Linked DNA regions of Drosophila melanogaster. The protein of the gene in region 1 interacts with the protein of each later gene in a pairwise test. Each region holds a gene or a part of one and is shown in the gene's direction. Other genes may lie near its edges.

The links.
Region 2: the proteins of lbe (region 1) and CG9215 interact in a two-hybrid assay, tested with the Drosophila melanogaster proteins (one large-scale study listed by BioGRID).
Region 3: the proteins of lbe (region 1) and Spps interact in a two-hybrid assay, tested with the Drosophila melanogaster proteins (one large-scale study listed by BioGRID).
Region 4: the proteins of lbe (region 1) and hkb interact in a two-hybrid assay, tested with the Drosophila melanogaster proteins (one large-scale study listed by BioGRID).

The regions. Positions count from the first base shown.
Region 1 is NT_033777.3:21,439,366-21,449,391, reverse strand, and holds lbe (ladybird early), read left to right. Parts: upstream 1-2,854; 5' UTR 2,855-3,298; coding exon 3,299-4,307; intron 4,308-6,991; coding exon 6,992-7,422; 3' UTR 7,423-7,815; downstream 7,816-10,026.
Region 2 is NC_004354.4:15,578,771-15,585,628, reverse strand, and holds CG9215 (uncharacterized protein), read left to right. Parts: upstream 1-2,754; 5' UTR 2,755-2,860; coding exon 2,861-4,543; 3' UTR 4,544-4,699; downstream 4,700-6,858. Other genes in the region: CG8097 (uncharacterized protein), read right to left, coding at 639-926, 990-1,305, 1,431-2,167; CG7872 (uncharacterized protein), read right to left, coding at 6,194-6,858.
Region 3 is NT_033777.3:24,220,771-24,229,119, reverse strand, and holds Spps (Sp1-like factor for pairing sensitive-silencing), read left to right. Parts: upstream 1-2,185; 5' UTR 2,186-2,464; coding exon 2,465-5,371; coding exon of another isoform or gene 5,372-5,422; 3' UTR 5,423-5,675; downstream 5,676-8,349. Other genes in the region: Acp95EF (accessory gland protein 95EF), read right to left, coding at 1-48, 111-128; CG13609 (uncharacterized protein), read right to left, coding at 902-1,996; cav (caravaggio), read right to left, coding at 5,697-6,584, 6,646-6,777, 7,195-7,212; twin, read left to right, coding at 8,273-8,292.
Region 4 is NT_033777.3:4,343,146-4,350,027, reverse strand, and holds hkb (huckebein), read left to right. Parts: upstream 1-3,381; 5' UTR 3,382-3,524; coding exon 3,525-4,179; intron 4,180-4,244; coding exon 4,245-4,483; 3' UTR 4,484-5,013; downstream 5,014-6,882.

The DNA.
Region 1 (10,026 bases):
AAGCGCTTGCCAGTCATGGGAATATGGAAAAAATTAGCTACTAATTTTGTGTACAGTACAATTTCGATACAATTTAATTTGAGTTCAAGTAATTGAAAATAAGGCAAGACATCAGATTATCCACTATAGCTGACTCCCAAGCTTTTTGAATCATTTTGGGTCAATCGAACACACCCAATTGGAGCGGAGCAAGTAAAGGCGGCTTAAATGCATAATTATCGTCTAGCCATCGGTAGTATTACAATTTTCGACATGCTACCAAACTCGATTCCAATCTCTTGGATTTTTATCTGCCGCACAGCCGCGAGATCAAGTGGCAGTGACGGGCATGTGTCAATGCTGCGTGGGTCGCTGTGGAGCTGCAAGTCTTGAACCGAAAGTGACTCCATGGCATATGCAAATCGCTCAGGGCAACTAAATGGCAAAAACGACGAATATAAATTTGTTTATGGAAGCTGTGACTTCAGGCTGTTGCTGCCGTTGAAAGCTTGCTAATTGACAATTACAGACAAGTCGTTGTTTTGGTAGTTGGGGCATTATGACGACGGATATACACTTGCTGTGATGGTAAAATATAGTCAACTTCAGCAAAGTGAAAGGACTTCATAAGGCGGGATGTTCTGATTTGATTTGCTATTTGGAAGATAGTATTGGCCTTTAAAAGAAGCTTAGCTGCGGCCATACAAGAATTACGTTAAATTTAAGTTGTAAACCTTTCATAAATATTTTTTTAGCATCAACTAACTCATGAATTTAGTCTAGTATTATTCAAAGTCAGGCAATGTATTATGACATAATGGCAATGCTAGTTTATACCAAGCTTACGTAGTTGGCCACCTAGTACTTATGAGGCATTTAGATATCTGACGATAGGAGCGACAATCTAAATTATAGAAAATCTATCGTTTCCGGCGGAATGAACTGATTCAGCTGCTCCGGCTGCTGGCTCCACCATTATGCGGCAGCTGAAGTTGAGCCGATAAATCAAAGAAATCGTCGCCCTGCTTTTAAATTTGAATATTAATGAACCCTTTCCCCGCACTTTCACTGCAGGAGTTTATCATCGTGTGAATGGAGCCACACACAGTGGGAAATTTAGAGAGGGAGCACAGGTGTAAATTGACCTTCCCCGCGAAGGATTCATCGACTCAAGGACCTGGCATAATTAACACGGCGGCTTTTCCCACGCAGGCCCCGTTCGTGTGTGTACGTAAGTATCTAATAGATACACTAATAGCCGCCGAGAACAAAGGTGAAATGGGCAACCAAAATTAGAATTATAAAAAATACAGAAGCGCTAAACGCGGGAAATCAAACGCGCCGCTCGCGGCGAGCCTCAATCACAAGCGGAATGCTCAAATATTTGTGTGATTAGTCCTTATCAACAGTCGCTCACCGGGAGCACCAGGTAGTAGTACACCATGGCCTCAGAAAGGGTCCCGGATCAGGTCAGGGCCAAAAGACAGACCGACTGCGGCTAAAGTCGGGCGCTGAGCCTGCGGTGGTCGCCGGCAATTCCTTTCGTTTAGCATCCTGCTGCGGCAGCAATTGGTTTCGATTTTGGATTTTCGACTTTTCGTTAATAGACCTCTGGCCCTTTGTTTTCAGACGCCCTGACGCCTTTGTGCTGCCGCTGCTGCTGCTGCTGCTACTATTTCCTCCTTTGTTCTCCACTGTTTGTTGCTGCAACTCGCATTTGTTTCAATTAAAGGGATTTGGCGTTGTTTGTTGCCTCGAAGGTGTCAGCAATTGCCTTCAAGTTCACTAAGACGTGTGGACAATTGCAAATTGGCAGCCACTTAAATAGTGCAGCTCGAATTTGGACGGCAGGGATTACAGGGAAAATGAAATAGCTCCTCCTTTTAATGTCGATGTGTAGTATCATAGAAATCCTAAAGGGGAACATGTTCAGTACTAAAACCAAAAAAAACAAACACTCATATATGTATCATTTAACCTTACTTATTTCACAATTAACAGTATTCCGATTAAAAATGGAAAAAATAAATTTTTTATGTGTGACATAGAAATGTTTTTATTGGGATTTAATTTTTACCTTTTTCGAAAATAATGTAAAGTTATTTTAATACGTAATTTAACTTGTACAACTAAATATTACATAAAGATGTTTTACAACAACAAAATATTTCGATTAATAATAATATTACTAGCATCACAATTTATTATATAAATAAAATAAAAATTCAAATATACGAATACAATACTGAAATCAAGCAATAAAAAAAGCCGTCGGGAATGAAAACACACCGAAATAAGTAATCTAAGCAACTAGAGTCAATTATATAAACTGGCTTCCCACCAAATTTGGCTGAAAATAGAGAATATTCGTTTTCATTCAGACGAAACTGGCCTCATTTCCATTCTCAGACTCCAATTAATTTCCAAATGTCTTCAAATTTATGCGCATTTTTATATCCCCACTGTTTTCTATTTTTTGTTTTCCTCCAAATTAATTGTTCGTTTTTCTTAAGGCAAATTAATTGCAAACGCTTGACAATTAAACGCAGGCTGCCTTCGGGGGTCATCGTCATTAATGCTAACTGTGAGGGGGTTACGAGCTGTACATAAAGTGGGGAGGGGGCTCCTAGCCCCCTCTGTCACTGCCTGCGCCGCAGTCGACGCATTTGGAGTTGTGAAAACTTTGCAGCGACTAAAATACTAAATACAGTCTCGTTACAATCTGAGAAGCGCCCGTCTCGCTCGCACTCGCCGTCTGCCATCCCTTTTGCACAGCAGTCTCATGATGAACGCCATAATTACCGTTACGTATACGCCACCATTGCTATTTTTTGTTGCTGTAGCCGATTGGTGCTGAGAGCCGAGCAGAGCGAGATGACACTACCATAAGGGTATCTCGCTCTTTCGCAGAACGGGTTTTGCTCTCTCGCGAGCGAGACAGAGAAAGAGAGAGAGACAGAGAGTGAGCGAGCGAACGAGAGCTGCGGCAGAGAGCAGCGGCAGCAAAAGAACTGAAGAAATATCGACGTGTCTAGTTAGCAAACCAATCTTCAATCTAGTTTCGAACAGTTGACTGCGAAGCGTCGAGTTGAGAGGTCCTACGCCATTGGATCAGCGTCGTCGTGTCGAAGCATCAGTGTAAACTAATCAAACAAATCAGAGGAATTATAGCAAGATTTGAGTGTACAAGGCTTGTCAGTATCGTCAGTACCGACTTGCAGTGTAGTGACAAAGCCGTCTTGAAAAACAGTTAAGTGCTAAACCAAACGAATTGAAACGAAACTCTCGGAAAAGAAACCAAGTGCTGAAGCGAACCTAAATGCTCTGCCCTCCAACCATGCGTCCGGCCAGTCCCGCCGAATCCGAAATCTCCGTGGGCGGAGCCCCCAGCCCGCTGCCCACGCAGCATCATACGCATCCGCACTCGCATCCTCATCCGCTGCAGCATCCACGGGCCAGCACCATTGATCTGCTGCAGCAGCAGCAGCTGCTGATGCAGCACCATGCCGCAGCAGCCGCCGCAGCAGCTGCAGCCGCCTCCGGACTCACCCGGAGTGCCGTCGGCAATTTGCCGGAGGACTACTTCCATCCGCTGAAGCGCCTGCGCATGTCCTCGTCCTCCTCGGAGCCACGAGACCACACGCCCAGTCCACCGTCAGCAGTTCCGGAGCCCCAGACCAACCAGACTACCAAGTCGGCCATCGAGGGGGTCAAGAGCTTCTCCATCGCGGACATACTGGGTCACTCGGAGAAGCAGCGCGAGGAGTCCGTTTCCCCGCCCCCAAATGCAAACCTCCTGGCTCCACCTGCCTCCCGGCCCATTGCCCCCTCGGGCGGATTACTGCAACCACGCACGGAACCGTTGGATGTCCACCCGGCCGCTGCTGCTGCCATGCTCCTGCCAAGCGGACAGATTGTTCGGCCGTGGGATCACCTCCTGGGGCCGACCATGCCCGTCCGCCCCTTCATCCCCTCCGCCCTGCTGCACTACGAGCAGCGCCTGGCTCTGGACTACCATCGCCAGTTGCAGGAACACTTTAACGCCCAGGCCCAGCTCCTTCGCCACATGGGCATGAATCCCGCGATCATCGCTTCCGAGGACGGCAGCTCGGAGCGTTCCCAGCGATCGAGCAGCAGCAATGGCAGCACCGAATGCTGCAGCCCACGGCAGGCGGAAAAACTTGAAAAACTAACCACCCAAGAGGGAAGTGAGGAAGCTCAGAAGAAGAAATCAGAGGAGCAGCCAACGGGTTCAGGAAAGTCAAACGGAGACACTCCTCTGGATGCTCTCTTCCAGATGACCACAAAGGACTTTGACGAGTCGCAAGGTAAGCATCATCCAGGAGATTAAATATACATTGCATACATAGTTATAGTTCGTAAAGGTTCTTTCTTCTTATTGGAAAATAGTTGAGTGGCTTGAAGTGATTGATGATGATGATATGAATATGAATATGATTCTAACTACGAGTCTTATTTAAGCTAAATGAAATTTCCTTAATCAATATCTAAATTATGGAATCCTTAGTAGCCCAATTGATTTCATCAGTGTGTCTCGGTTGAAAAACGTCTCAATTTTCGAAATAAATTTGCGCGATTTCTTAATTAGAATAAAAGCTTCTAATTTGTTATCGTTCTGAAATTGGGGAATCGCAAACGCAGAAGCTGAATATTAAGCTTATTATGACGTTTTCCATTTATCAATCAGCAAATTCGAAATTCGTTTAATTGAAACAAATGGTAGCACTCGCCCGCGACCCGCCATTTGAAATCTTTTGTTATGTAAATTCCTTAACCGATTCGATTTCGGGCTTTTAATTAATTGGCAGCATGCGCCAGCGGTCGACAGAAACAAACGAACCAATTTGATGATAAAGTATAATTCATTCTGCGGCATTTTTATTCTGCAACTTAGGTTTATTTTGGCATAAACTCGACCGAGGGCATTTAGTGGGCGTTCAAGTACTCCCTGCACTCCACCCCCGACCCCAAAGTGATTTCATGGCAATTAATGGTTAATAGTCCGCACTATCCGCATTAGTATATTGGTGTTAGTCGTGTCGATTCTGCAGCGATTAGCAACAATTAGCTGGCTGGTGCATTACCTAATCGAGTTTTGTTGTGGCGAACAATTAACATGCCGTTTCCATTTGTTGCTACTCAAAAATAATAGCTGACAAACTCTAGCCCGTCTGTACAGTAAATATAGTGGCCACAGCTCCAGTCGTAAACATGTTTTAAAATACCCCCAACTAGCGATTAGCGACGACACTCGCTGCTCCGCGTTGTATAATGCCGTATCTCCGAGTATTAAGTTGACAAAATACACATATTACTGTTTATCATGCGTTGTATAAGCTGCGCTCGAAATATTTACGACGGATTTCTTTGGTTTTGCGCCTTGGATGCGTCGTTTGTCTATCATCATCAGTGCGGAGGAGGAAGTCTGCGCAGGGCGATAGGCAGATAGGCAGCTGTGGGGCCATTGGATTCTCCTAATTTATGACTAGGTCCCATTAATATCACTAGCACTAGTCGAAGATATTTTCACATATGGAAAGTGATGTTTCAGCTCTTTTGCCGTGGTATAAACGCTCCAGCTAGTGGAAGGAATGCCAGACGTGGTGTCGCCCCTGCTGGCCAAATCTTAATTGCGATTCTCGGTACTCGCGCCAAATTAAAACATAAACTCCCTGTGGCCAACTGTTGCTCGGCAGGTTCCTCGAAAATCGATCGGGTTTCCTCCTGCGTTCCCAAACGCATTCGACATGAAGCCCTGACAAATGCGACCAAAACAAAACTCCCCCAAGTAAGAGCCATATTTATGCCTGTAAGTGGACACCTGAGTGGGTAAAAGGATACCCAAGTGGCCCGCTCGACTCCCTTTCTCCAGAGATAAGTCATGGAAATTACTTAATGAGGCCCGATAAAAACAAATACAATAGCTGCGGAGGTGGGGGAGAAAGGCTCGGGGAAAGGCTCGGAGAAAGGAAAGGGAGGCGTGCAGTCAAGTGCCTAATGGGTTTTGGGTTACAAAACGTGCTCGAGATAACAAATGACCAAATTATGCATTCCAAATGTACGAGTATGTGTATGTAAAACGGGTATACCCATAGCCAAGCTCCGGAGACTTCGTTTGCATTCGGTTGGAGGGCATTTAATTAGTTTTTAATGTCGATCTAGTTTGTTTGACAAGCAATCGAAATGGGTGTGAAGCCATCGTCCCAAGCCATCAAACCGGTTAGCCAATATTCAATAGATAAATATTTATGCTGATGATCGGCGATCTGCTCCAATCGCTTTGACTGGCACCGCGCCCCGGAATTTGGTTAATAATTTGCACCAGGAAACGTTATGCAAGCTCAATCAGCGCTTTAAGTACGGGTCAGTGGCTCATTAATCAAGCCGTGGCTACGTGTACCACTTAAAACTGATTTGTAGGTGTCAATAATTATTATAAATCACACTACAAACGAGACAAATGAGCCGCTGTCTTGCATAAGTCGCGGCACTGGGAAAGCTGCGATCGTCATTAGACCAACAAAGCCAATGAACGCCCACCACTCGCGCAATCAATCAACTTGAAATTATACACTTCAAGCTGCGAACTGAGGTCGCGAATTCGAGATTTCAGATCTGAGAACTCCAACTGCAATCGCAGTTGCATTCATAAAATGTATCAATCACCGCATTTCCATCAACACGCGCTCTGTTCGGAGAGGCAATTAAAAACCAAGCCAAAGTCGCTCGTTAGTAACCGGTTCGCCAAATGCCGTGCATCGTAGAATTCACTGGCCACACTTGGAGTAACTGACTCCAATTAATATGAGCTATTCGGAAAAATTATCTTCTTATTACTATAACAACATATATTATGTCGGGCGGCAGCGGGCTTAGCATGCGATCAAGTACCTGTGAAGGCATTAAATTCAAATAATGATATGATTGTTCAATAAGCTACACATAATTAAATGTATTAACTAACCCATCATTATCTTCACTCTCATTTTAGATAAATCCCACTTGGACATCTTCTCGAACAGGCCGCAGCCGAAGAAGAAGCGCAAGTCGCGCACCGCCTTCACCAACCACCAGATCTTCGAGCTGGAGAAGCGATTTCTCTACCAGAAGTACCTGTCGCCAGCGGACCGCGATGAGATCGCCGCCTCACTGGGACTGTCGAACGCCCAGGTGATCACCTGGTTCCAGAACCGGCGAGCCAAGCAGAAGCGGGACATCGAGGAGCTGAAGAAGGACTTCGATAGCGTCAAGGTCTTCTCCGCCCACAAGTCCTTCCTGGAGAACGTGAACGACCTAAGCATCCTCAAGAAGAAGCCCATGCATGAGTCAGATATGGTGGGCCTGGCGGCTGCGGCAGCCGCTGCCGGAATGGTGGTTCCCGTGCCTGGATCCGTGCCAATGGGAGGCGCTCCGCCCAAATGAGGGCGTGGCCAGGTGCGCACCGAACCGCCAAGGCAACCTGATGATTGGTACAGAAAGTGAGCAACGAGGAGTCGAGTATTTTGTTTAATTTTGAGCTGAGTGCCGGGAAAGTTGGGACGCATCTTTTCGCCCAATTCATTTTCACCAGGCATTCGACGGCCAAAGGAAGATCCAGGACATCCTTAACATCTTCCATGGCCACGACGCAGAGGGCAAGGGCAACATTCAATGCCAAGCCCCGATGGAGACTAACCAGCCAGGACCAAGGCCCCTTTGTGGGCCGTGTAATCAAGCCAGAACAATCATAGCCGGAAACGGAAGTGGATATGGAACCAGCCAGAACTTGGATTCGGCTCTACAGCCAGGATCACATCGATTATAATCGGCTCTTTTAAGAGCCACCAAACTGATGTACAAAGAGGCGTTTAAATTTTTCATCGAAAGTTTAAAGAGATTTTGATATAGTACATTCAAATGGTGTGCTAAGCAGTTATTCAAATGAAGGTGTTTCGTATAATATCAATATTCCAACACTACAAAACTACAGATTATTTTTTCTAACATTTTAGGAGCAACTAAGCATGTAAACAATTAATTTTTAAAATTTTATGAGTTCAACTTTTAAGCTCCCTTCTTAGCAATCGATGGTTCTTCTCCTTTCCCTGATTAATATAATTAATAAGTTTTCTTATAATTTACAGAAATCTAATCTTATAAATATTTAATACAGTTTTAAGCAACTTAAAAAACACAGTATGTATTTCCCCAGCCAATTAGCTCTAAAAAGCGAAATATGTTTCACTCCAATTAATAATTTGATGCGAACAAAGGCAGATATAAAAGACCGCAAATTGTTGTCAATAAATTTAAGCATATTTAAGCAAACAATGCCCAAGTCACAGCGAGCGCTTCCATTCGGCCTGTTTCGGTGAGTTCAATTCGAATTTGTGTATCTGTATCTGCATCTGTATCTGGAAGCCAGCCCAGCAGTTCTAATTTGAATATTCTGCTGATGCTTCGGCGCGATCGATGCTAATGATGTTGCTACGGATTTTGGGGCTGTGCTGAGTGGCGCAGTCTTAAAGTAAAAGAAATCTTTTTTAATTTTTATTAATGATTATTTACAACCGTTATTCATAAATTCAAACTAATTAATTATTTATTTAATCACTTGGCACGATCGAAAACGAGTTAGGCAAAAACTGCGAGTCGAAACTCAACACTTTTAAGTGTGCAAAGCCGGGCGATGATGTGACTGGCTTTTTGCCGATTTGTGCACGTCGCCAATTTGCATACGAAATTTACTCGAAATTATTTCGATATTTATTAATTTTCGATGCGATCATTTTCATAAATTTCCAAGCCAAAGTCGGCTGCTCTCTGGCTACCGTTTGCGGCTAAGTTCAAAGGTGGCCCATCATCGCCAGCGGCGGACACATTTTTCAATCCCAACATGACGAACTAACTGAGAAGCTGAGGAGCTGAGAGGCCGACAAGATGACCTGCGATCTCTCCGCGACTGAAGTGCGCCATCAATCTCGGACTCGATTTGGTCCCACTCAAGCGAACCCAGCGAACTTGGTCAGCAGCCGATCGTTTGTTAATCATTTGAATAATCAAGCTATCAATTCCGCTGCTAATGATGCCCGATACCAATCCGATTCGTTTGGATCGCATACGACCAACTGGTCCATTCGAAACCCACTCCCAGTGTCTCACAGTTCGTAAACTAGACGGGAAAAGCCTCGTGCATATGGATGAGATGCAGATCGACTATCTCGAAACTTGGTCGAAAGCAATTTATTTTCATTTCCAAATGTGTGACAATGCAACGCATGCGCCGCGATAAAAACTTTTAGTGGGCCCTAAAAGCTTCTGATTACTCGGTCTTCAGCGTTATTAATAGGCTTGGAAAGTGACCGGCGAAAGTATCTCTGGAGAGCATTTAATTGAAATAGAGTTGTACTACAAATTACAGCTGCCATTACCGGTGGCATTTTTTTTATTGGCTGAGAAAATTTGCCCCGCAATTCGAGGTAAACGTAGCCGGGCTCTAATTATGGGAAAATCTCTCCGAGCACTTCCGTTAAAACAAACAGAAATGCGTAAACGTGGAAACCCATTAATCGAATCAACTAAAAATGCCTAATGAACCCACCGCACAGTAAGTGGAAGTGCCCAATGAGCCTTTTAGCTCGGTTTAATGGGCCCAGATGCGAGAAAATCGCAGTTGCCTTGATTGCGGTACTGAGTAGGTTGGGAAATCATTACCCTGTTAATAGAAATAATAGACAAACACGGTTATTCTCACAATATCAATGGGAAATGGTCCGCTCGGCTGGGAAAAAACATGCCCCTAACTAAGCTAAATTTTGGGAGCCCTCCTTGAAAATTTTTTTATAGTTAATGAAAATCACCGTAAACCGTCAAAATGTAATACACATTAAAATAATACTAAATTGTTTAATATTATATACGCATGAAGAAATGAAATCTGCTGCGTTGTCCTATCTACATGTTCATACTCAAAGTAAAGTGTATGGGATTTCTTTCATGTAATTTATTCTTGGTAATTTCGCTTGATTCCCAATATTCTCCCCACAA
Region 2 (6,858 bases), on another chromosome or scaffold:
TAATGATACATTGTTTTCTAACCAAAGTCGCTGAAACCATTTAAAATTGTTCCAATGTAAATTCGAATTGTATAGATAATTATTAGGAAATACAAAGTATTTTAATGGTTGGCAGTCCCTTAGAAATAATAAATTTTTATATATTGTCAAAAATTTTAGAAATACGTTTCGGTTGGGTTATCAACTCTCGATAGCTAGGACATTCATACATTAAGATGTAGCTATGTATGCGTGATGATTCCTGTTCTGAAAACGTAGCATTAAGTGTTTAAACAAAATCGCATTTCAATGATAAACGTTGTGTTGATACTTCTTTCAATAATAAACGACTCGATTGTACAAAATGAGCTTTTGTATTCATACAAAAAGCAAGTCTTTTATTCAACGTTTCAACGTTTTATTTTGTTTACAAGTAGATACTGCTATATTTTGATTATTATCGATAAAATGAGAGGTGTAACTATGTTATATCAATATTGTATGGCCCTTTTAAGATCACATGTCATTATATTATTACATATATTATTACCGCCCACTGTTGAGCCAGCATTTAGTTTTGCTATGGTTTCGCATTAGCCTCTTGTTTTTGTGTTTTTTTTTTTTGTTTTTTGTTTATAGAAGATATGCTCAACATATCTTTATACGTAGTCCACCGGTTCTATGCCCAGGACGGCCAGAGCCGTATTCAGGACCTGTCTCACCGCCTTGATCAGGTAGATCCTGGCGTACAAGATCGGCATTAGTTCATCGCGCTTCTGAAGAAGGACCTTCTTATGATAATAGAAGCGACTGAAGGCGGCAGCCAGGTTCTCAACATAGTGCACAAGCAGATGGAGACCGCAATGACCCTGGTCCAATTGATCCATTATGGACTCCATTAGCTCCGGAAAGGTAAGGAGGTAGCCATAAATCAACTCCCAGTCAACCTGCGCAAAAAGAACATAGAAAAATCATAAAATGGCATGATACGGCAAACAAAAATCACATACATCATCCTCTAGAACGCTGAGATCGATCTCATCCAGCAGTGGCAGTTTCTCATAGGCACAATTGTTAACCTCATAATTAAATTTGCGCAGCAGCGCCTCCAGACGTGCTGAATTGTACAAGATGTAAGAAGCGCCCTTGCAAATGCCAACTCCATTGCGCACCACACTCACGGCGCTGGAGTGGCGCACCACAAAGAGATCCACAATCACGGCAGCGGCCGCAAGACGCTTCGTCAGCGTATCAAGGCTACTCATTGGTACCGGACACATTCCGGAGCGCTGCGTGGCCATCAGCTCCATGTGCTGGCAGCGCAGCCTGCATTGAAGAAGCAGAATACGAAAGAAAACACGAATAAGAAAGAGATGCAAAACATGTGAGTTTTTAGGTTAACTCCGAAAAAAGAGCTTGTCGAAACATGTACTAATACAGTATGTGCTTACTTTAAGTACTCGTCAACAGTCAATGAGCTGGCGCCCTTATTTATCGGCTCCAAAACAGGACCGCATGTGAGGCACACATGTTCCACGGGCTGCTTGCCGTTGCAGCATTTCTCCAGCTCGACAGTCACACAGATGGTGTCCTTCTGGCGGTCATTCGGCTCCACGAGGCGCCAAGACGAGTAGTCAACCAGGCGCAGCAGTATCTTGTATAGCTGCTGCAAGCGATAGTGGCGCAAGTCCTGCCCGCCATCGACGGCTCCGACAACGGCTTGCAACTGCAAGCATATGGTGCGCGATTGGTTGTTATTTGCCGAACGGCCGTAATCGCCGCGCAGCGTGAGCACAGAGTTAAGCACATGTGCAATAATCGGATGGCGCTGGAAACGCAGAGAGTAGCGTTCCTTGTTCAGCACAGTGATTTCGGCGAGCGGGAAACGCCACTTGCGTGAATGCTCCATCAACTCCAGGCGGTCCACCGGGCTGGGGAGCAGTTCGTCGCCATCGATGCGCAGCTTCAGACCCTGGCTTTTTAAATATTTTTGCCAGTAACGCGGGATGGCCGCCAAAGTCAAGTCACCCTGCTCGGTCAGATCATCGTTGTTGTAACGGATCAACTTGCCGAATTTCTTCAAGAGCAACGGAGCTGCTACATCGCCACCAGACTCATCCGGCTTTTCCGGCTTGGTAAAAAATTCGAATAATTGCTGGCCAACCTGCAACCTTGGATTACAATCCATTTTTCACTGAATAAAATCAACTTCTTCTGCCTGCCGTCAAACGCAAATCTTCTGCCTGCCGTCAAAAGCAAATCTTCTGTTCGCCGATAAATGGTTTTACCGAAAAGCGCGAAATATAACAATTTAAATTCTGTTGAAAATAATTTCACTTGTATAGAAACATAAACGAACACTTGTAAAGTATGAAAACTAGTGATGATATGTCAGTAATATAATTAAAGTTATTTCCAGGCTTGCCTACTTAAATCCTTAATTTGCTGAAAACCAAACACTTCACGCCAGACGCACTTTTCGTAAAGGTAAATCATCGATAGCTCAATCGCTAGAGGTGGGTAATCATAGCTACAAAATAATCGATACAAAATAATCGCTACTAATATCGCAAATTCACAAAAAATAATGAATCTTAAAATAGTTTGCCTTGCTTTATACCACTTTCAAATATACACCTAAGCTAAAAGGGCCTGCACATTTTTAATTTAAAGAAATAACCAAACCAATAAATATCCAATAACCAATAAAACGATAATAGCGCAAGTCTCGTGATTGCCACACTGAGTGTCAGGTACCGAAAAACACGCAAGTGCCATCCCTATTTCAAAAGAAGTGTTTTCTTGTTGCCTGCGCGTGTTGCGAATTTTGGGAGCAGCTTGAGCAAGAGCCATAACGCAGGTTCAGTCCGAGATTGGAGCAATGTCCAACAACCTGCAGCCGCGTGTGGTGGACCTGGGCGTGGCTTGCCTGGTCTGCCTGGCGGAGGAGCCCGAGGCCAGCTCGATCTATGGCCACGACCCGGAGTCTCCTCATATGCTCATCCTGGACAAGATTCGCTGCTGCACCAGCCTGCAGCTGGACAGCAGCCCGTCGCAGCTGCAGCGCTGGCCGGACAAGATCTGCAAGCAGTGCCATCTGGAGCTGTCCGTCTCTTATCGCTTTCACGAAAAGTGCACCGCTGTCCAGAAGCTATTTCGCTCCGCCAGCCGCTCTACCTCGACCTCCGCCGTCTTCGCCGCCGCTGCTGCTGCTCCTCCTGCCCCTATGCTGGTCGATAAGCAGCAGGAGCAGCTTAAGCTTGATCTGGAACAGGCTCACGTTCGGCTGCCAGCAACACTGAAAATAAGGAGGCTCAACGTGGAGCCCTGCTCTTCCAGTTCAGTAAGCGGTACAATAACTACCAGCACGGAGCCCTCCGAGGATGTCAAGGAGGAGAAGACCGATTCACTATCCCTGATACCAGACGGAGCGATGGTCCTATCCCTGAATGACTTTCAAGCGCAGGATTCTATTACTCAGCAGGCAGAAGAAAAGGACCCTAAAAAACAGCAGGATGAGGATGAGGGGCAGGCCAAGATGCTGGAACTGGATCCTTGGGATGACGAAAACACGCCGGAGCATCTGTACGAGATCGAGACTCCGCTCATCGAGGAGTCTGTGGTGGCCAGTCCGCCGTTGCCGTTGCCGCCTACTCATCCCGCCAACCAGCAGAAAAAGCGCACCTACCGTCGCGTTTCGCCCAATGTGAAGCATGAAAAACTGACGGCGAACGTGGACGATGATTTTAAGGCCGGTTCCACGACCAAACGCCGCAACTGCGAACGCTCGCCAAAGATCTGCGATGTTTGCGGTAATACATACAAGTACCAGCACGCGCTAAATGCCCACATGCGGCGTCACAACAACGAGCGCCCATATTCCTGCGAGGTGTGCCAGAAGGCGTTCATCTCAAACGTTGAGCTGCGACGCCACATGCGCGTCCATACCGGCCAGAAGCCCTACAGCTGTCGGCACTGCGAGCGTCGTTTCTCGGACTTTGGCAGCAGCAAGAAGCACGAGAGGATCCACACCGGCGAGCGGCCGTATGTGTGCGAGGTGTGCAACAAGGGATTCGCCTATGCTCACGTTCTGTCCGCCCATCGGCGGACGCACACCGGCAAGAAGCAGTTCCAGTGCACGCAGTGCGACAAGGGTTTCACCAAGAAGACCTATCTGTCGGCTCATATGGAACAGCACCGAGGCTCGGGCAACGGCGAGGCATCGGTCGCATCATCATCCGCTGATGCATCCAGTCGCAACCAGAATGCCTCCGCACGGAAGGAGTCAGCGCGCAAGCAACAGCAAATCCCCGAGTCCTTTTCGCTGGACTCCGTAGAGCTGGAGCAGACAAAGGTTCTCGAGGAGTGCATTGTGGCGAATGACTTCATGTTCAACGAGGAGGACAACGCGGAGCAGGAGGCCAATGACCGCGAAGGGCTGCAGCATGACGATTCCTACCCGTACGTCGGTGGCTACCAGAGCGTTGACTCTGTCAAGGAACTGGTCGGCGATCTGCTGGACACCGAGGAGTTCTGTGACGAATCCAAGTACATGATAGAATAGTATTACTACCGGGACAACTCACCGCACCACTAAGGGGCTGTCTCCACACAAGGATGGCCCCAAACTTCCCCACCCCGTACCATTTAGACAACCAGGCTAAGAAGCGTAGCTCTAAGAAATCGGTGTAAATAAAATGGAGATATTCGGATAGAAAGCTTATGAAATATTGGCTATTTTTTATGGAAAGTGGCTTTAAATAGAACATATATAGTAATGTGAATGGAATATTACTTAATGCGAATATTATTTGGGGAGCAATTGCGAAGAACCTTACAAACCCACAATAAGTAGTTAACAATGTGCATTTATATTCTAGCTACTTTAAAGGGATTTATTGTTTAACAATTCATTAGAAGAAATGAAAAGTTAATACATGTTTATTATATTGGTAAGTTATGCTTTATGCTTATATTACCTTAAACAATCTGAGGCCTTTGAATCTTTAGAAAAAATGATAAGGTAATAAATGTTTATTAGTTTAGTAACTTAAGCTGTTATATTACTTTAAACAAATTGAGGACTTTGATTCTTTAGAAGAAATTATACGATTGTAAATGTTTATTATTTTATGCTATTATATTACATTAAACAACTTGAGGACTTTGATTCTTTAGAAGAAATGATAAGGTAATAAATGCTTATTATTTCACTACCTTATGCTGTTATATTACTTTAAACAAATTGAGGACTTTGATTCTTTAGAAGAAATTATACGATTGTAAATGTTTATTATTTTATGCTATTATATTACATTAAACAACTTGAGGACTTTGATTCTTTAGAAGAAATGATAAGGTAATAAATGCTTATTATTTCACTACCTTATGCTGTTATATTACTTTAAACAAATTGAGGACTTTGAAGACATGTTTAAATAAAAATTGGTATACGTGAACTGCGAATAGCGAAATGCAAGAGCCACACGCATGTATCCGAAACTAAAGTCAGCATTTCGCAAAACAAATCAACTTTATTTGAAGGCTACCATTGAAAAATCTAGACTTCTTTACTCTTCAGCTTATTTTCAAGCACGTACTTAAGTTTAACTTTCAGCAACCGCACCAAACCAAGAAACAATAAAAAACGAAATTGTTTCTAAGCAAACTGTGTAAACAAAAGCACGGAGAGATGCTGTTTAGAGCGAATAAATGCCACGAGATCGAATTTTTGGCCATCCAGAACAACTGTGCAAACCAGGCACAGTGAACAACCAGTAAGAGAGACGTTTGAATTTTATCTAGTTTATTACAGTAATCGGTTTAGTCAAGTTAGTTAGGAAACACGCGAATGTGGCGTGCTTTTTTTGTGACCAGCCAGGTAGGGGTATAATTGTTCTAGGATGGTTCGTTCACGGCAGCCAGTGGACACTGTGCCGACGCGTACCGAACGTGGCCACGTTCTTGAACCGGTTTTGGCGGATCGCTCCGGCGGGGTCAACGTTTCGCCCTTTGGCGGACAACACCGGGACATTAACATAATTCATATTGATATAGTTGGTGTACAAAAAATTTCTAAATATATATATATAAATGTATCAAAATTTAGACGGTATGGGGATGCCGAGGGCGAGGAATTTGGGATCGGTTTTACAACACGCACACAACAGACTTTTAGATGGAACAATGAAACTTGAACATCGCAGAGCAGCGGCTAATCCTCAAAGGTGATGCGGCCGGGTCCGTGGTTCTTCATGTATCGCCTGTACGCCTTGTATCGTGGATTCTCCGCCAGCTTCTTTTTCATCTCCTCTTCCTGTTCTGCCTTCCAGGCGACGAAGTTCTCGCGCTTCCACAGCTTCAGATGCAGGTACTCCTCGATCAGCTTGTCCTCCTGCGCCTCGAACTGATGCTGGCCCATGCCCAGGTGCCGGCGGATGAGGTAGAGCTTCTGCTCGCGGCCATACGGCTGCTTCATTACCGTGTAGCGCCAGAACCACTGAGCGTGCCACACGATGAACGAGAGTATCGTGTAGGGGCAGATGATCAGCTGCACCCACAGCACATCCCAGAGTGTCGGCTTCGCATAGCCGCCCTTAACGTCCATCTTCTCCTCGATCACCCGCCGGATGATCCGTTCCAGCTCATCGCGCTGATCGTTCTTGGACATACGATTCTTGCCCTTCTTCTGGATCTTTTCCTGGATCTCGTCGCGAGCTATTTCCAGGGCCTGGTTCCTATACTTGGGCACCGTGGCAAAGTACTTGATGGCAGAATCGTAGCGCTGCCAGCCGGAATAGTACTGGATGACGGACACAATGGTTAGGACGACCACGATAACCACGCGCACATCCACCTTGGGCGCCACGCGTCGCCGGT
Region 3 (8,349 bases), 2.8 Mb from region 1:
AGCTGAGGTGTTAAGGGATAGAGCTACAACCAAAATAGCAATAAAGAACTGTGCGAAAATTTTAAAAAATATTAGATTTTGGAACGCAGATATGATTAGTACCAACACACCAATTTTACTGAGGCCATGTTGATATCCGCTAAAGAAATCGAAAACTATACTAAAAATGTGTAAAAGATCTCCAATATATATATGACTGGTATTCAAGGCCGCATCGAATGGGTTCGTTTCAAAATTTAAAACTGAATCAAATTCGTTAACATTTTTTACAAGGCTTACGCAATGAAAAAGACTAATTGACCTTTGAAAATGTAATCCTTAAGACGAAGATGATGAACCCAACATATGAAAATACTTATTCGATCAATTCACAACTAATACGAAAAGGAAAGGATTTTGCATTCGGAAGATTATTTTTATTTCAAACTTCCTAAATAGAAGCATTCATTAGATTACTTATTTTACAGTCGGGGTTTTTTTTTTAATGTCTATTAATGCTGCAGCATCTGACATGCGATAACACAGTTGTCCTTGACCTAGTTGTAGAACATAAACATAATAGATGCACATCAAAAATGTTTATTTATAAGATCGGTTAAGTTTTAATATGGCAACGTATGACAGACATTCGTAATACAAACTTGCGTAAATGCATTCAGGAGTTCGCAGTTTTATGATTATTTATCTGATTACATATTTTAGCCTTGGTATGTTTTCCCACTGGGGACGTGCGAGCGTATCTTGTTTAAATATTCTTTGGTCTATATTTATAATAATTAAACAAAAAAAAAAAAAATATCTAATTATAAAACAATACTTTCTTCGATGACTATAAATTTGATATACCTAGAGTTCAAATAAATATTTTAAATATACTTTGAGATCATCTTGAGATACTTGTTTACTCTTTGTTTCTCGCCTTTTGGCGATGTTCGTCTAATACTTCCCGCAATCGCTTGACGAAATTAGCTTGATCTCTCGGAATAAAGCCCAGGAAGGCGTTCCTCGGGGACGAATACAGCAGCATGATAACCTTGCAGACGACCTCGGAGGAAAATCGGGCACAGCCACAACTGCCGGCGGACATTGATGATGCTAGCGAGTCGTGTTCTTCTCCAGGTGTCGATCGGAGAATTATAAGTTTCGAGTCCTTTATAAACGCTCCGGCGAACTGACCAAGATAAATTGAAGGCATCAAAACCATAGGCATATCAGTTGGCCAATCCTCCGCACTGATCCCGGGATCACCGTTTTTTATAGCTATGTACACGGAACACTCAAGCTTGTGACTAATGCTTGGCTCCTCTAAACTTGCTTGTGTCGACCAATTCAGCGATCCAGTCCATAGGAGTTCATTTATAATGGCATCTTCCTCCACAGGAGGCGGTTCTTCTGGCTGTGGCTGCTTGGGTGTTTTGACGCCCGGCTTTCGTTTTGCACCCTGAAGAATCTCCTGCAGTCGTTCGCTAAACGAATCCTCATTGTTGGGTATGAAGCCAACCAAAGCTTGATGATCGCGCGAGTAGATGAGAATTAGAGCCTTGATGTTGCAGTTGGGATTGGAGGGGAAGTGGATGCAACCAGCGAAACCAGAGCTCATCGCCGTGATCAATAAATTGAGTACCTCTCCTTGGCTGGATCGGAATACAACCATCCTGGCATCCTTTAGGAATTGTTCGCCAATTTTACCCAGCACTTTTTTGGGTATCAGTTGTGTTTTCAGCTTGTTTGGCCAGTTCTCCGTGTTGATCTCCGGCTGACCTTCTTTAACCATGGAGCAGATTTTGCATTGGACCGTGTGCAGAGTCTTCGGTTGATCCAATATCTGTGCATCCTCCCATTCGAGCTCTCCACTCCAAATTGTTTCCTTTGAGTCACCATTTTCAGGATTTTCCGGTTCTTTTTGCAAAAGCAACGCCCCAATCATATGTGTTAGACAATCGAGTTCCCCTTCGTCATCACCCACTCCTCGGGCTTCCTCTGGAACCGGCTCCATGCCCCTTTCAAGATGCAATCTAATTAAATATGGATTTTGTCGGATAGGCAACTTGTCGGTTAAAAATTTGTTTATCTGTGATATGCTTCTTCTTGCTTTTAGCGGTTTGTTATTGGTATCGCACTATCGGTTGGCTGGTTGGTCGATTGGCGGCCATCGAGATGCAACGCAATGCAACCCTGGCCAATCACTCTCACTTCTTCTTCTGCGTTTGTGTCAAAACAAAATTAAAACTAAAAACTCGCTAAAACCGTCTCGCAGCGCAATTATCTTTAGACTTCGTGTTATTTATGTGTTTGAATGTTAGCGTCGGCACCCCGCATCCCAGTGTTCATAACCCCATGTGTGCCACCTTGGTTTAAATGCTACCAATCTCCTGGCAGAGTAGCGCGTCTGAGCGAATAAAAAAACTGAACATGTTTCGCTCCAAGCACTTGTGATTGACCAAATCTCATCTAAAGCCCTGCCATGCTGCAGTACAAGAGTGCCGCCAGTGCGGCGACTAGTGCGCCACCCGCCACGCCTTTGGCGGCAGGCGGTTCCAGCAAGGCGACGATTCCACCAAATGGAGCTAGTGCAGCAGCTTCACAAACGCAGGTTCACGGTGCTCCCGGGACACCAACCATGCAGCAGATCATCAACATTCACCAAATGCCTCCTCAGTTTGCAGGCGGAGCGGTTGCCGGGAACGGACAGAACGCTGGCATGCCCCAAAACATGTTCCAGATCGTACAGCCCATGCCCATGCAAACGGTGAACATTGATGGCCAGGAGGCCATCTTCATACCAAACCTCAATGCACAACTGGCCACCGCTCAGGCGGTCAACTTCAACGGGCAACAGGCCTTTATCACGCCCAACGGTCAAATTCTGCGGGCTCCCCAGATGGCAGCTAATCCGGCAGCCTCTAACTGCATTCAGCTGCAACAGCTGAACGGCTTGGGCCAGGAGCAAACCCAGCTGATCACCATACCCGGCACCAACATTCAAATACCCGTCACCAATCTCATTCAGCAACAACAGCAGGCACAACAAGTGCACCAGGGTACAGTGCAACAGCAGGCACAAGGAACAAATGCATCTGGAGCCAATGGATCGGGAGTTACCAATAGTGGGACAGCGGGTCAGCTGCCGGGCAGCATCACCATACCGGGCACAAACCTGCAGATACCAACCTCGGTAGCGGCGGCGAATGGATTGCTGGGAAACATCTCCAATATCTCCAATTTACTAGGCGGCGGGCAATCTATAAAGTTGGAGAACGGCCAATTGCAGATGCGGCCGCAACTGGTGCAGTTTCCGGCGCCAGCCATGCCGCAGCAGCAACAAACGGTTGCTGTGCAGATTCCCGTTCAGACTGCTAACGGACAGACCATCTACCAGACTGTACATGTGCCCGTCCAGGCAGCGGCAACATCGAGCGGCGGACTGCAAAACCTGATGCAGGCGCAATCCCTGCAGATGCCCTCCGCCTCGCAGATGCAAATCATCCCGCAGTTCTCACAGATAGCCCAGATTGTTACGCCCAACGGTCAGATTCAGCAGGTGCAACTGGCAATGCCGTATCCTCAGCTGCCTCCGAATGCCAACATTATACATATCCAGAATCCCCACCAGCAGCAGCAACAACAAGTACAACAACAACAACAGCAGCAGCAGGCGCAACAGCAGCAGCAAGCGCAACAGCAACAGGCACAGCAGCAGCAACAACAACAGGTCCAGGCGCAGCACCAGCAGCTCCTTCAGGCGATCAGCGATGCCTCGGCGGGGGGACAACTGCCGCCCAATCAGCCCATCACCATTACCAATGCCCAGGGCCAACAGCTGACCGTGATTCCCGCCCAACTACGCCCAAATGCGCCTACCGCACCCACTCCTGCTCCAGCTGGTGTGCCCACACCAATGCAGATGCCCAATCTTCAGGCTTTACCCATCCAGAACATCCCAGGCCTGGGTCAAGTGCAAATCATTCACGCCAATCAGCTGCCTCCTAATCTGCCAGCCAACTTCCAGCAAGTACTAACCCAACTACCCATGTCGCATCCTCAAGTGCAAACTCAGGGCCAAGTTCAGGTGATGCCCAAGCAGGAGCCGCAGAGTCCAACGCAAATGATCACCAGCATCAAGCAAGAGCCGCCGGATACCTTTGGACCCATTTCCGCAACTGGTAATCCTCCGGCACCTGCCTCTACTCCAAACACAGCCTCACCGCAACAGCAGCAGATCAAGTTCCTGCATACGGAAAGCAATTCCCTGTCCAGCCTGAGCATACCAGCCTCCATTCAGATCACAGCCCTGCCACAGCAAGCGACGAATACACCGAATACCCCAGCCACAACCCAACCAATTCCCGTATCGTTACCTGCAAGAAGTAAGGTCAACGCTGTGACCACGTCAAGCACCCAGATTACAATTGCGCCGACTGGTGGCCAAGTGGTGTCCGTCACGACGCAGGCTAGGGGAGCAACTGCCAGCATAAGGAGCACGAACACCAGCACGACGACTATAACAACGCCGTCACAAAGCCATCTCAATATGAACATAAGTGTGGCCAGCGTCGGAGGTGCTGCAACTGGCGGCGGCGGTGGAACAGCGACTGGAGAGCCCAAACCACGCTTAAAGCGAGTAGCCTGCACCTGTCCCAATTGTACAGATGGCGAAAAACACTCGGACAAGAAGCGCCAGCATATATGCCATATAACCGGCTGCCATAAGGTATACGGGAAAACTTCCCATCTAAGGGCTCACCTGCGTTGGCATACTGGCGAGCGACCATTTGTCTGCTCCTGGGCGTTTTGCGGCAAGCGCTTCACCCGCTCCGATGAACTGCAGCGCCACCGACGAACGCACACGGGAGAGAAGCGTTTCCAGTGCCAGGAGTGCAACAAAAAGTTCATGCGCAGCGATCACCTGTCGAAGCACATCAAGACGCACTTTAAGAGCCGCTCTGGCGTGGAGCTAATTGAGCTGAGCATCAAGCAGGAGACCAAGGGTGGCAATGCACCGAAAAGCATTAGCACGGTGAACGGCATTGTGACGATTGAGATTCCGGGCGGCGGTTCAGCGGCGGCGGGCAGTGGAGCCTCCAGTGTGGCGGCCACGGTTGCAGGCTCAACTGTGACGCCGGGCGGGGCCACGATCGTTCAGCTGCCGACTGTGGAGGCCAGCGGCGGGGGTGATAGTTTCGGCGATGATGAGGACGACGAGGAGGATGATGAATTGACCGAAGAGGACGACGAAGACGAGGAGCTCGACGAGGACGATATGGATGATTGCGAGGATGAGGAGGATGACGAGGATCCAGAACTAGACAGTGGCGATGAAGTGAAGATGACAATTGCGGTCAGTGAGCCTGGCGACAATTCGTCCAACTAGCATTCGGAGTCGCTGTTCATGGAACAGTTCTTGTTTGACCACTTCCCGTAGCACCCACCGCCCCCTGCCGCGCCCCATGGGACCATGGTTTAGCAATATATAAATTGTACATAGCGTAATTATGTAAAAGCGAGCATTTTAAATGTTTACCCTTCTTGTACAGCTCCGGTTGCGGATCATCCTAGATTAGTGTACATAGCTTAATCGACCATCGTATTTTAATTAAGATTTTTATTATACATTTTATAACATTTTTAGGGATTACATGTTTTTAATTAATTAACACCAATAAATGAAGAACTTTATATAGTTTAATATATGGACATCAGGCTATTGAGGTGACGTCGATCGGCTCAGATTCTGTATTTTGAAAAGTGATAGTTCCTTCCGAATCAATTGACGGTCCAATCGACAAGCTTTCCGAATTAATTTGATCACACCTTACCCAGCTCTCATTCATCTCTGTCTCTGGACAGTTTACCTGATCGTCAGGCTCTTGAGTCGACGTGGGTCGTACTAATGTGCTCAATTGGGTGCCAAACATATAGTAGTCCGGATCAGACTCCGTATTCCGGAAACTGTTATTTGCTTGCGAATTTATACATCCAGTCCGCATCCTTCCTAAATTAATTGGATCACATCTCACCGAATTCTCATTAATCTCTGTCTCTGGACGGTTGATGTTCTCATCCTGAAATCCTGACTGCTGCTGTTCGTCCTCATCGTCTCCGATGCCGCTAAGATCAGATGACGACACGCCTGGCGGAGCCATCGCTTCCACTTGAAAGTTCATTTGAGACAGTGAACTAAGATTTGTGTTTGCTTGGTCCTCGTGGCTCTGCACCGCGTCATTAGAAGATGCATGAGCGTCTGGAGAGGATTCTGGTGCTGATAGGTTTTGACTCTTTTTCTTTTGCCATCTATCCAATCGGCTGATGTTCTGCTTCTTAGTCTCGGCTGCAACTATTTCTCTTCGCTGGGCCACAAACTCCTCCGGATACGGTTGGACCATCTTTCTGCGCACCGCTTTCATATACATTCGGTTGATGAATCTCTCAGACTTGTTCACAAAACGTCCTTTTGCTTCAAACCTCTTTTTGGCTTCCCACAGACAATTCCAAGCGGTCATATCAACCTTCACTTTGGTGCGTAGACAAAGCTCCTTTACCTCGTCCTCGGTGTATGGGCGTGCCAAGTCCTCCTCGGTTATTCTCTTCAAATACAGGATACTATACAATATACAATTTCAATTTACAAAATGAAATGCGTCTTACCGTTTTTTCGTGCATCCATAGAATCAATTTGTTGTTAGGATCGCTTTCTTTGAATTGCGCACGAATTTTTTTGTCCTCGTCGGCTAGATACTTTCTCAGGAAGGCAGACATTTGCGTCCCCGACATATTAACCTTTTTTTAAAAACACGCAACATTAAATTAAATAAATTACAACTTTTTAAGGGCATTCGCGGCTAATGGATCTATCGAAACTCTGTAAGGTTATCGATTAGTCAGTATTTACAGATTTTAATGGTTTAGCTCGATTCTAGCTAAGTATTTTCGTTTGCTGTCAAAATAAACTCATTTTATTTTACAAATTAATAATTCAAAGCTCCTGATTTCAATCCTATAAAAAATATCAATTCAAAAAACAGGGGTCTTAACTGTCATACAAAATATAGCTACTTTCTCAATACGCTAGTTGGAGCCCCTGCTTGCAAATTCTTTCCGATAGCCGATTAACAGCAAGTGGGCATTTCCGCGTACGCCAAACCAGCGCACAAAAGAGAAATGGAAAACGAAGGAAAGCGAAGAACGAAAGTTTACACATAGTAGCAGCAGCATAAATTCACAAATAAATCGTCCATCCAGAGATCTAAACTACATAAAATATATCGCGTCGAAAGCCGAGTCCTCAGCAAAAAGCATTGACCGAAAAAAGTGGCTAGTAAAGCAAACAGTACGAAATATCTACGTGTTTTTATTTTCAGCCCTGCACCTCTTTGACCATCTGTGTGCGTGTGCGTCTTGTGTGTATGTGTGCGTCTTGTGTGTGATGTGCTCTTGTTTTGTTTTGACTGAAATCCCATTTGAGTAGTTCTTTTTACAAACAAACGTTGTCTCACACTTTATCAGAACACTAGGCCGGACTTCAGTTGGACGAATAAGCACGCATTTTGGACAAATCTTGCCGTGATACCGTCCGCTGATAAAACCGAGTGGCAACTCCGACTGCTCACCATGTATACAAAAACAAGAACCGACGATGAAAGCGAGTCGCGTGATAAATAAATGAAAAGCAGAGGCCCAGCAGAAGAAAGAGCGATCCAAAACGAATAGGTTGATTAGCAGAATCGTCGCTTCTGTTCCGACAAACACGAACGAAAAGCAGCAAAATAATAAAATAACAAATATAGGACCCAAATAAAGGCACCAAAAACGGTAGAAGTCGGTTAAATTTCACAGTGAATATCGAATATTGCTGAATCCCCAGCTGCGGCTTCCTTTTTCTTTCAAAATCCTCGAGTAAGTGCAGGCGGAGAGCGAAAAGAGCGCGCGAAACGAGGAGAGACGGCGAGTAAATTTGAGCCAGAATTTCCGATTGAGGTGACTTCCTAGGAATAGTGAACTGAGCCAGGTAATCCTACACAGGTTCCTGATACCCACGATTTTCAATATGCGACATACGGCTTTCCTTCTTCTTCTTGTTTTGCCCGCCCACGCCATTCTTCTTTCTAACTGTATAGTGTTTCTGTGTGTGCTACGCGTCCGTGTGTGTGCGTGTGTGTTGGTGCTTGCACTTTGCGCGCGCTTACCAAAATCATTTTCGTTTGCATTTATTTATGATTTACAATTTACCATCCGCAGCTGTGCGAAAGCCAATAGCAGTTCTTTAAAGCCTAATATGTGTATCTTTAAAAAAAGGTGCATAGACAACGTTCCAAAATACATATCCAATGCTATTTATTAATAAAATATAAA
Region 4 (6,882 bases), about 17 Mb from region 1:
CTCGGCGAGCTTGAAAACCACATGAGATATACCGAATGTTTTGCTTGTTATTGCATATTTTTATAACTGATCCCAAATCAGAGCAAAAATTAATTTCAAAAAACGAAAATTAATTAAATTTTCTGCAGATGGGCAAGAAAATGGAAAAACAGGACGACACAAGCCTAGCAATTTGTACGGAACGCACTGTATGCATATTTATTTAATCTATATATTTTTATTTTTGGAACGCAAGCTTGTTTTTGTGCATTAAAAGGAATAACATATTATCTGAATCCACCGAAATGTATATATGATCCCTTGTATTGCACAAAAATTAAATGTTTGTTTGTATCAATTTTCCCATATTGAGTAAAATTTAAAATAAAAAGTTTATTTCGAATTAAATGATATTTCCAGTTCTTTACCTCTTATTACTAATTCTGATAATAATAAATAAGAATAACAATTTGACCACATTTACTAGATGTAAAATTTAAGTCACTTACTAAAATATACTCTAAAAAACATATCATTTTTAACCTAACAAATTACAACGACAAAAAATACTACTGATATTATTATTGGTATTCCAGATTCTTATCAATATCTCAGAGCAGATTAACGGGCATTTGATAGTCTAGGTATTACTCTACGAGTGTTTTTAAAAGTTATACATTAAGAAAGTTGAAATTTTTTCTTGTAATTTGGTTTCCTTGTAAAACATGCATTGGACATGCTTTTTTGAAAAAGCTAATAGCCCTTTTCCGCATAAACATAATTCAGAAAATTCAATCAGGAAAACCATTTCGAAATTGTTCGAACTTTCAATCTTCGTCCAGGATCACCAAATAGTGAGCTGGGGGCTTATTGAAACCCCCTACCCCTAGTCCAGTCGTAATCTATGTGCTCGTGAAGACTCTATTAAGTTTACACACTTGGAATGATAGGTACTATTAGCGGGGATCAGGTCTAGCTTGCTAAATCTTGCGATTCCACTTCTTTGAAACGTAATCTTGCTTATGTGTCTTGTGGCAAAGTAATTTGCCGACTGAAGTTTAGTTACGCTGGAAGTTTCCCCTGATCATGTCGCCGTCTGGGTCTACGTCCATCCTATATCAACAATTCACGTACTTTCCTCATATGTGGCGTGTCCCAGCTCGAGCGCATGTGAAATTTCCTAATTAATCCAAATATGAATATTACGTCGTGTTCTTATCTCGGGTGTATATCCCGTCAGGTATTGGACAGTGCAGCTAATCGTTACAGGCAATCCTGCCATTCCATGAATGAATTCACGTTCGCTGGCCGAGTGGTTACCATATCTAATTATTTTATAACTTCCTTTCATACCGGTTATGAGTGCCGCATTGTCCTAGGTAGGTTGCAGTTTACGACCCGTCGGGCTGTGAGACGATTGCGTGGAAATACCGGCGCTCATTACTTTAAGAATCTACTGCGGAAAATCCCAGGCTGCTGCAAGCCCAAGTCCAAACCTACGCAAATAAGCTAGTGAATTTTACAGTATCACCACCCTCAAGCCAGCCCAATCGGCTATCTACCTGCCACCCGACCACCAAGGGATCTATCCAGATCACAGGATCGTCCCTGCTCACGGCAATCCCAGTTTATGAATGAATTTACTAAATGAGCTCAGTCGTGAATGAAATGTTCTCCGCGGACCGCGTTTTATGGACGGTTCTACATATACATAGGTACTAACAAACCCACAACAACCCAGCCATGCCGCTGCACTCATTAGCATTGGTCGAACAATGCAGTTGGACGTAATCCCAATGATTTCCCTTTTGTTCTAAATGGCAGGACAGGGGCATAAGGCGCTAGGCCTGCGGAATGCACCTTCCCTAGAAAGCAGATATCTTTTAGGAAGTTATTATCGCTTTGGTCCGATGACAGCAGTTTTATACTCTTTTAAAAAACAACAAAACGAAAATATTTCGTTCAATTCCGCAAATCTTTCTTTTAATTCTAGCAGCAAACATTTTTATGATTATATGCTGTATCCGTCGTCTCTTGATTAGAATTAGAATTTGATTTCGAAATTATTTCAGGTATCTGTCGAAGAATATAGAGGTATATAATACATTTGGCTGCAAAAATAGGAGGCATATATTCATAATTTAGAGAAGGCTTACTTCCAATGCTTGTTGACTAGAAAATAAGATTGAACTCAGAACACTACTAATCCTATCGTGGGAATCCTTAGAGGGTATGTATTAATATTAAGTACCATTTTCCCTTTAAACTCAAATTCATACAGAAAATTGGAGTGGAAAGTAAACGCAACAGCAATTTGTAGCGGCTACCAATGCATGCGAAAAACTTGTGAACTTAAACACGAACTCTTAAAGCCAATATCGCCTTCTAAATTAAAACATTAGGTGTAGCAACGCACATTCAGCCAAAGTATGTTGTATCTGTTCTCGTAGTCTGCAGCCAGAATCGCGTTAGGGCAAACGCCTCCACGAGCCAGTAAAGTTTTTCTCAAGCACCCCCAGAGATAAAGATAAAGTTTAGGCGAACTGTACCAACTGAACAACACGCTCAAGCCTGGCAATCTCTGCAAATCCTGCCCAGCTGCTTGGCCCGCACTTTGCATATTCGTGATGTCGCGGAGCCACCCTCGAACAAGCACTTAATTTAATAATAAATTGCTGCCACATCGGGCACAGGAAACCCGAACCGCAGATAACCGAATTATACATTTGGAGAAGTATCTGTGTCTGGACGGAGGGAAGGAGGAGGAAACTGTGACTGGGAATGGGTATAAGATTGGGAGTGGGATTGGGATTGGGAGAGTGGGCCAAGCCAAGCCCAAAGCCAACCACCCGGGAATCATGGTCGGTGGGTGGGTGTGAGTACAATTCATAACATAACCGTGAAACGCAAATGCTCTGCTAAAGTTGCGCCCAAATCGGAGGCACCGCGCTGCTGGGATCGCCTGGGCCCAGTATATGTAGTACGGAGTGGAAAGAGTAGAAAGCGCAAGTTAGGAAAGCTGCCCGCCACTCGGTCGGGAGTTCGATTTTCCGGACCGGGAAAACTACGCAGGACTACACGCACACACCAGCGCCTTATATACTTCAGCTGCGAGTGTGTGTGCGAGCGGGCCGCCATTGTTGTGCCCTCGAAACCGAACCGAACCGAATCCGTGCCCGTTTCTGAAAGCGAAACCCACCCCGAAGCATCCCTCTCGCTCGCACATCCTCAGACAGACAAATAATCGATGAATGAAGCGACCCTCAGTGTGCGTGTGCGTGTGCGGGTGAGTGTGTATGTGTGTGCGCGTGTGTGTGAACGCAGGACGAATGACTGCCTGGGTATACGAAGTGTAGGTAGCCAGAGTCCTGGGTTTAAATTGAGAGGCGTCGGGGCAGGAGAGCTCAGTTCGAGTCGAGATCTCGCAGCACACACACAGCTCCGCACAACCAAATCAAGTCCAAAATCATAATCACAAGTGTTCCATCCAAGTGATTTAGTGTCGCGAGAGAGCAATTTAGACCTTCCATTAAAACTACTGCAAAATGTCGACGATTAACCTGCATCCCCCGCAAACCTACTCGCGACTTTTCCGACCCTGGGATACTCAGCGCCAGGCGGCGACCTCGGCGGCACCCAGGACAGTGAAGCAGGAGCCGGAGGCGATTACCATCAAGACGGAGCTGGCCAGCAGCAGTTTCGGCCACGACTGCGACGGAGACTTCTCCTCCGCATCCTCCTCTGCGTCAAGCAGCAGCAACAGCAGCAAGTCCTGCTACGAGGAGGCCCTGAACCACAGCAGCTACACCCGCACTTCCACCCCGCTGCTGGACGCCGCCCCGCACCCCGTCTTTTCACACCCGCAGTCGTCGCCGTTGGACACGCACGCCGCCGCCACCGCATCCTTGGCTCCGCCAAACCAGCACGCTCCATTCCTGTCGGCCGCCAGCGATCTCTACTACGCTGCCGCCGCCGCAGCAGCCGCTGCTGCCTCCACGCCCACTGCCGTCCCGGGCTTCGGCATGGACCCGTTCACTATGGGCCTGATGGAGCAAGAGTACGCCCGCGTGATGGCCGAGGACGCACAGTTAAAGGCGCTCAACAGCCGCAAGCAGCGGCCGAAGAAGTTCAAGTGCCCCAACTGCGACGTGGCCTTCTCCAACAACGGCCAGCTGAAGGGCCACATCCGCATCCACACCGGTAAGTCGACCAGAACACATCTGACCCCGAGAGTCCCACTCACTTATCTCCATTCTGTTCTGCAGGCGAACGCCCATTTAAGTGCGACGTGAACACATGCGGCAAGACCTTCACCCGCAATGAGGAACTGACGCGTCACAAGCGAATCCACACCGGACTGCGGCCGTATCCTTGCAGTGCCTGCGGAAAGAAGTTTGGCCGACGCGACCACTTAAAGAAGCACATGAAGACGCACATGCCGCAGGAGCGCCAGCTGGGCCCGTCCATCTTCGTGCCCATGTACTCATACCTTTATGGCTACTGAGAGGGAAATCCTGGCGAGCTTTCCCCTTGCCACGCGACCCTGCATTCCAGCGATCTGTAAAGCGCTTGCACGCTTTAAACAAGCATTACCGAACCGAATCCAACGAAACGAAACTTAACGCCAGCAAAAACTGCCTAGCCAATCGTGGACAGAACTACCTCAGCCGTACCTGGCGCAATGTGGCGCACTCACCAAACCCAATCTTTGGACCTCGACGATATATGCAAATATTGAGATATTTATTTTTTAACGCGTATTTACACTTCCAGCTACGTGACTGGTTATGATATTCGGCACATGTGTAAATAATCCCTAAGTGATCCTTCCTCATATGCTAAGCGATTAAGAAATTTAAGAGATGCCCGGATTTACGTCTAAGTTATACTAAAGCTGATACTTTAACAGTTTTATAAGCTGATCGTGGTTACCAGATACATACGATTTATACACAAAATTATACGATCATGGTTATATCTGAGAGTTGAATTATACGATTTATGTTTACAACACAAAATACACAAGAAAAACCGTACAAGAAAGACCTTTATTACCTGGGCGGTGTTAGAAATGAGGAGAAATGTACATAGAACTTGCAATTTTGTTCCCCAATGATTAAATGCATAGTTCCATTACGAGTATACGAGGAGCTAAAAACCAAGAACCATTACCTTTACATGTTAATGATCCACTGTCACTTCCCGTTAACCAGATCGTGCGACAAACCGCTCGTCATGCCGCCAATATCAAAGGCAAATCGGAAAATCGCATTTGAACTGTCATAAAAGGATTAAAAGGCACAAGTCATTTGGTCCGAATCTATCCAAATTTCATTCACAAATTACCCAAAATGAAACAGCACCCCAGACAAGCTGAAACCGACCAAGCCGCGATAATGAGCAGCGCCAAAACTAAGGGAAAAGTGCATTCGTGTCGCTGGCAATCTTTCCCACAGTCCTCTTTCGGTCCAGATGTGCCCACGTAAATTCGCCATTACTCAGCTGACAGCTTGCGTCATTCATTAGGACAATAAAGTGGTTCACCTGAGCAAAGAGACCTAGACACAGTGTCTGCGACAAGTCGAAAAATTACCTATGTGTTTTTGTTTGGAATTCGTTGTTCGAACAGCAATCGATTCCTGGTCACTATCAATGGCACTTCTAAAAGCGGACAATAGGTGCAGTTTATGAAAGCGGATCTAGGTGGACACCCAGCTTCCCGGACAATCGAAAATTTGTCCGCTTGATAGGGGCGTGCAGTCCTTACATTACGTGTCCCCTACCTGCTTATTGTTTTTCTCGGGCCTGAGAATATTTTCATATCGGCCAGACAGTGCGACGTCGTTCACATCGCACAAGTGACACAATGATCTATGCCGTCTCCATTCGATCCTTTACAATTGCGACTATTTGCTCCAGATACACAGTGCACCTAAAACTTCTTGAGACCACTCTCTGCAACAAGTTCAAACAATCATTTTTCAAGATGCGTGATAGTTGGCAATTAACAAGCGGGCAGTTTGGATTGATCGACGAGGGCATTCGGCAACCATGGGATTCCTAACCTAAAACGCATACATGTTCTTGACCAGATTCACTTGCCGATCCTCTCTAGGCATGTTTATCCGTCAATACAAACGTCGAAATCACTGAGCCCGAAAGAAGTAGAAGGTTTATGGAATCATGATACTATTTTTGAGTTTTTTTATTAATGAATACAATAATGTATGTGGACTTTAGTCATATCATATCATATATCAAGAAGTAGGCCATTTCGATATGGTGTTTTATTTATATGTAACAAACATACCCGTATTTCTAGTGAGCACAACGCTGATAATAACCAAATCGCAATTTCACATTTTAAAATTGATAAAAACGCAGAACTGAAATAGTGGTCAAAAATAAAACTTTACAAAAAGAAAGCTGAAACACCCGTGTAGAAATGATACGTTAAGAAAAAAACAATGAAGATACATTTTCATGTTTTATATACCATACCGTTACTAGGTTTAAGTTTTCCATATGGTGAATGAATATGTCATTTTACCCGTTACTCGTAGAGTTAAAGGGTATACTAGATTCGTTGTAAGTAGTACGTAACATGCAGAAGGAAGCGTTTTGGGCCATATAAAGTATATATGTATATATACTGTTGATCAGGATGAATAGCCGAGTTAAACTGGCCACGTCTGTCTGTCAGTCCGTATGAACGTTGAGATTTCAAGAACTATAAAAGCAAGAAGGTTGATATTAAGCATACAGATTATAAAGACAAGGACGCATCGCAAGCTTGTTGACACACGTTGCCACGCCCCTTTTAAAGCCCAGAACTGCCACGACCACACTTTTGAAAAATGATTTGATATTTTTAAGGACAGACTTGTAAATTTTTATAGACAT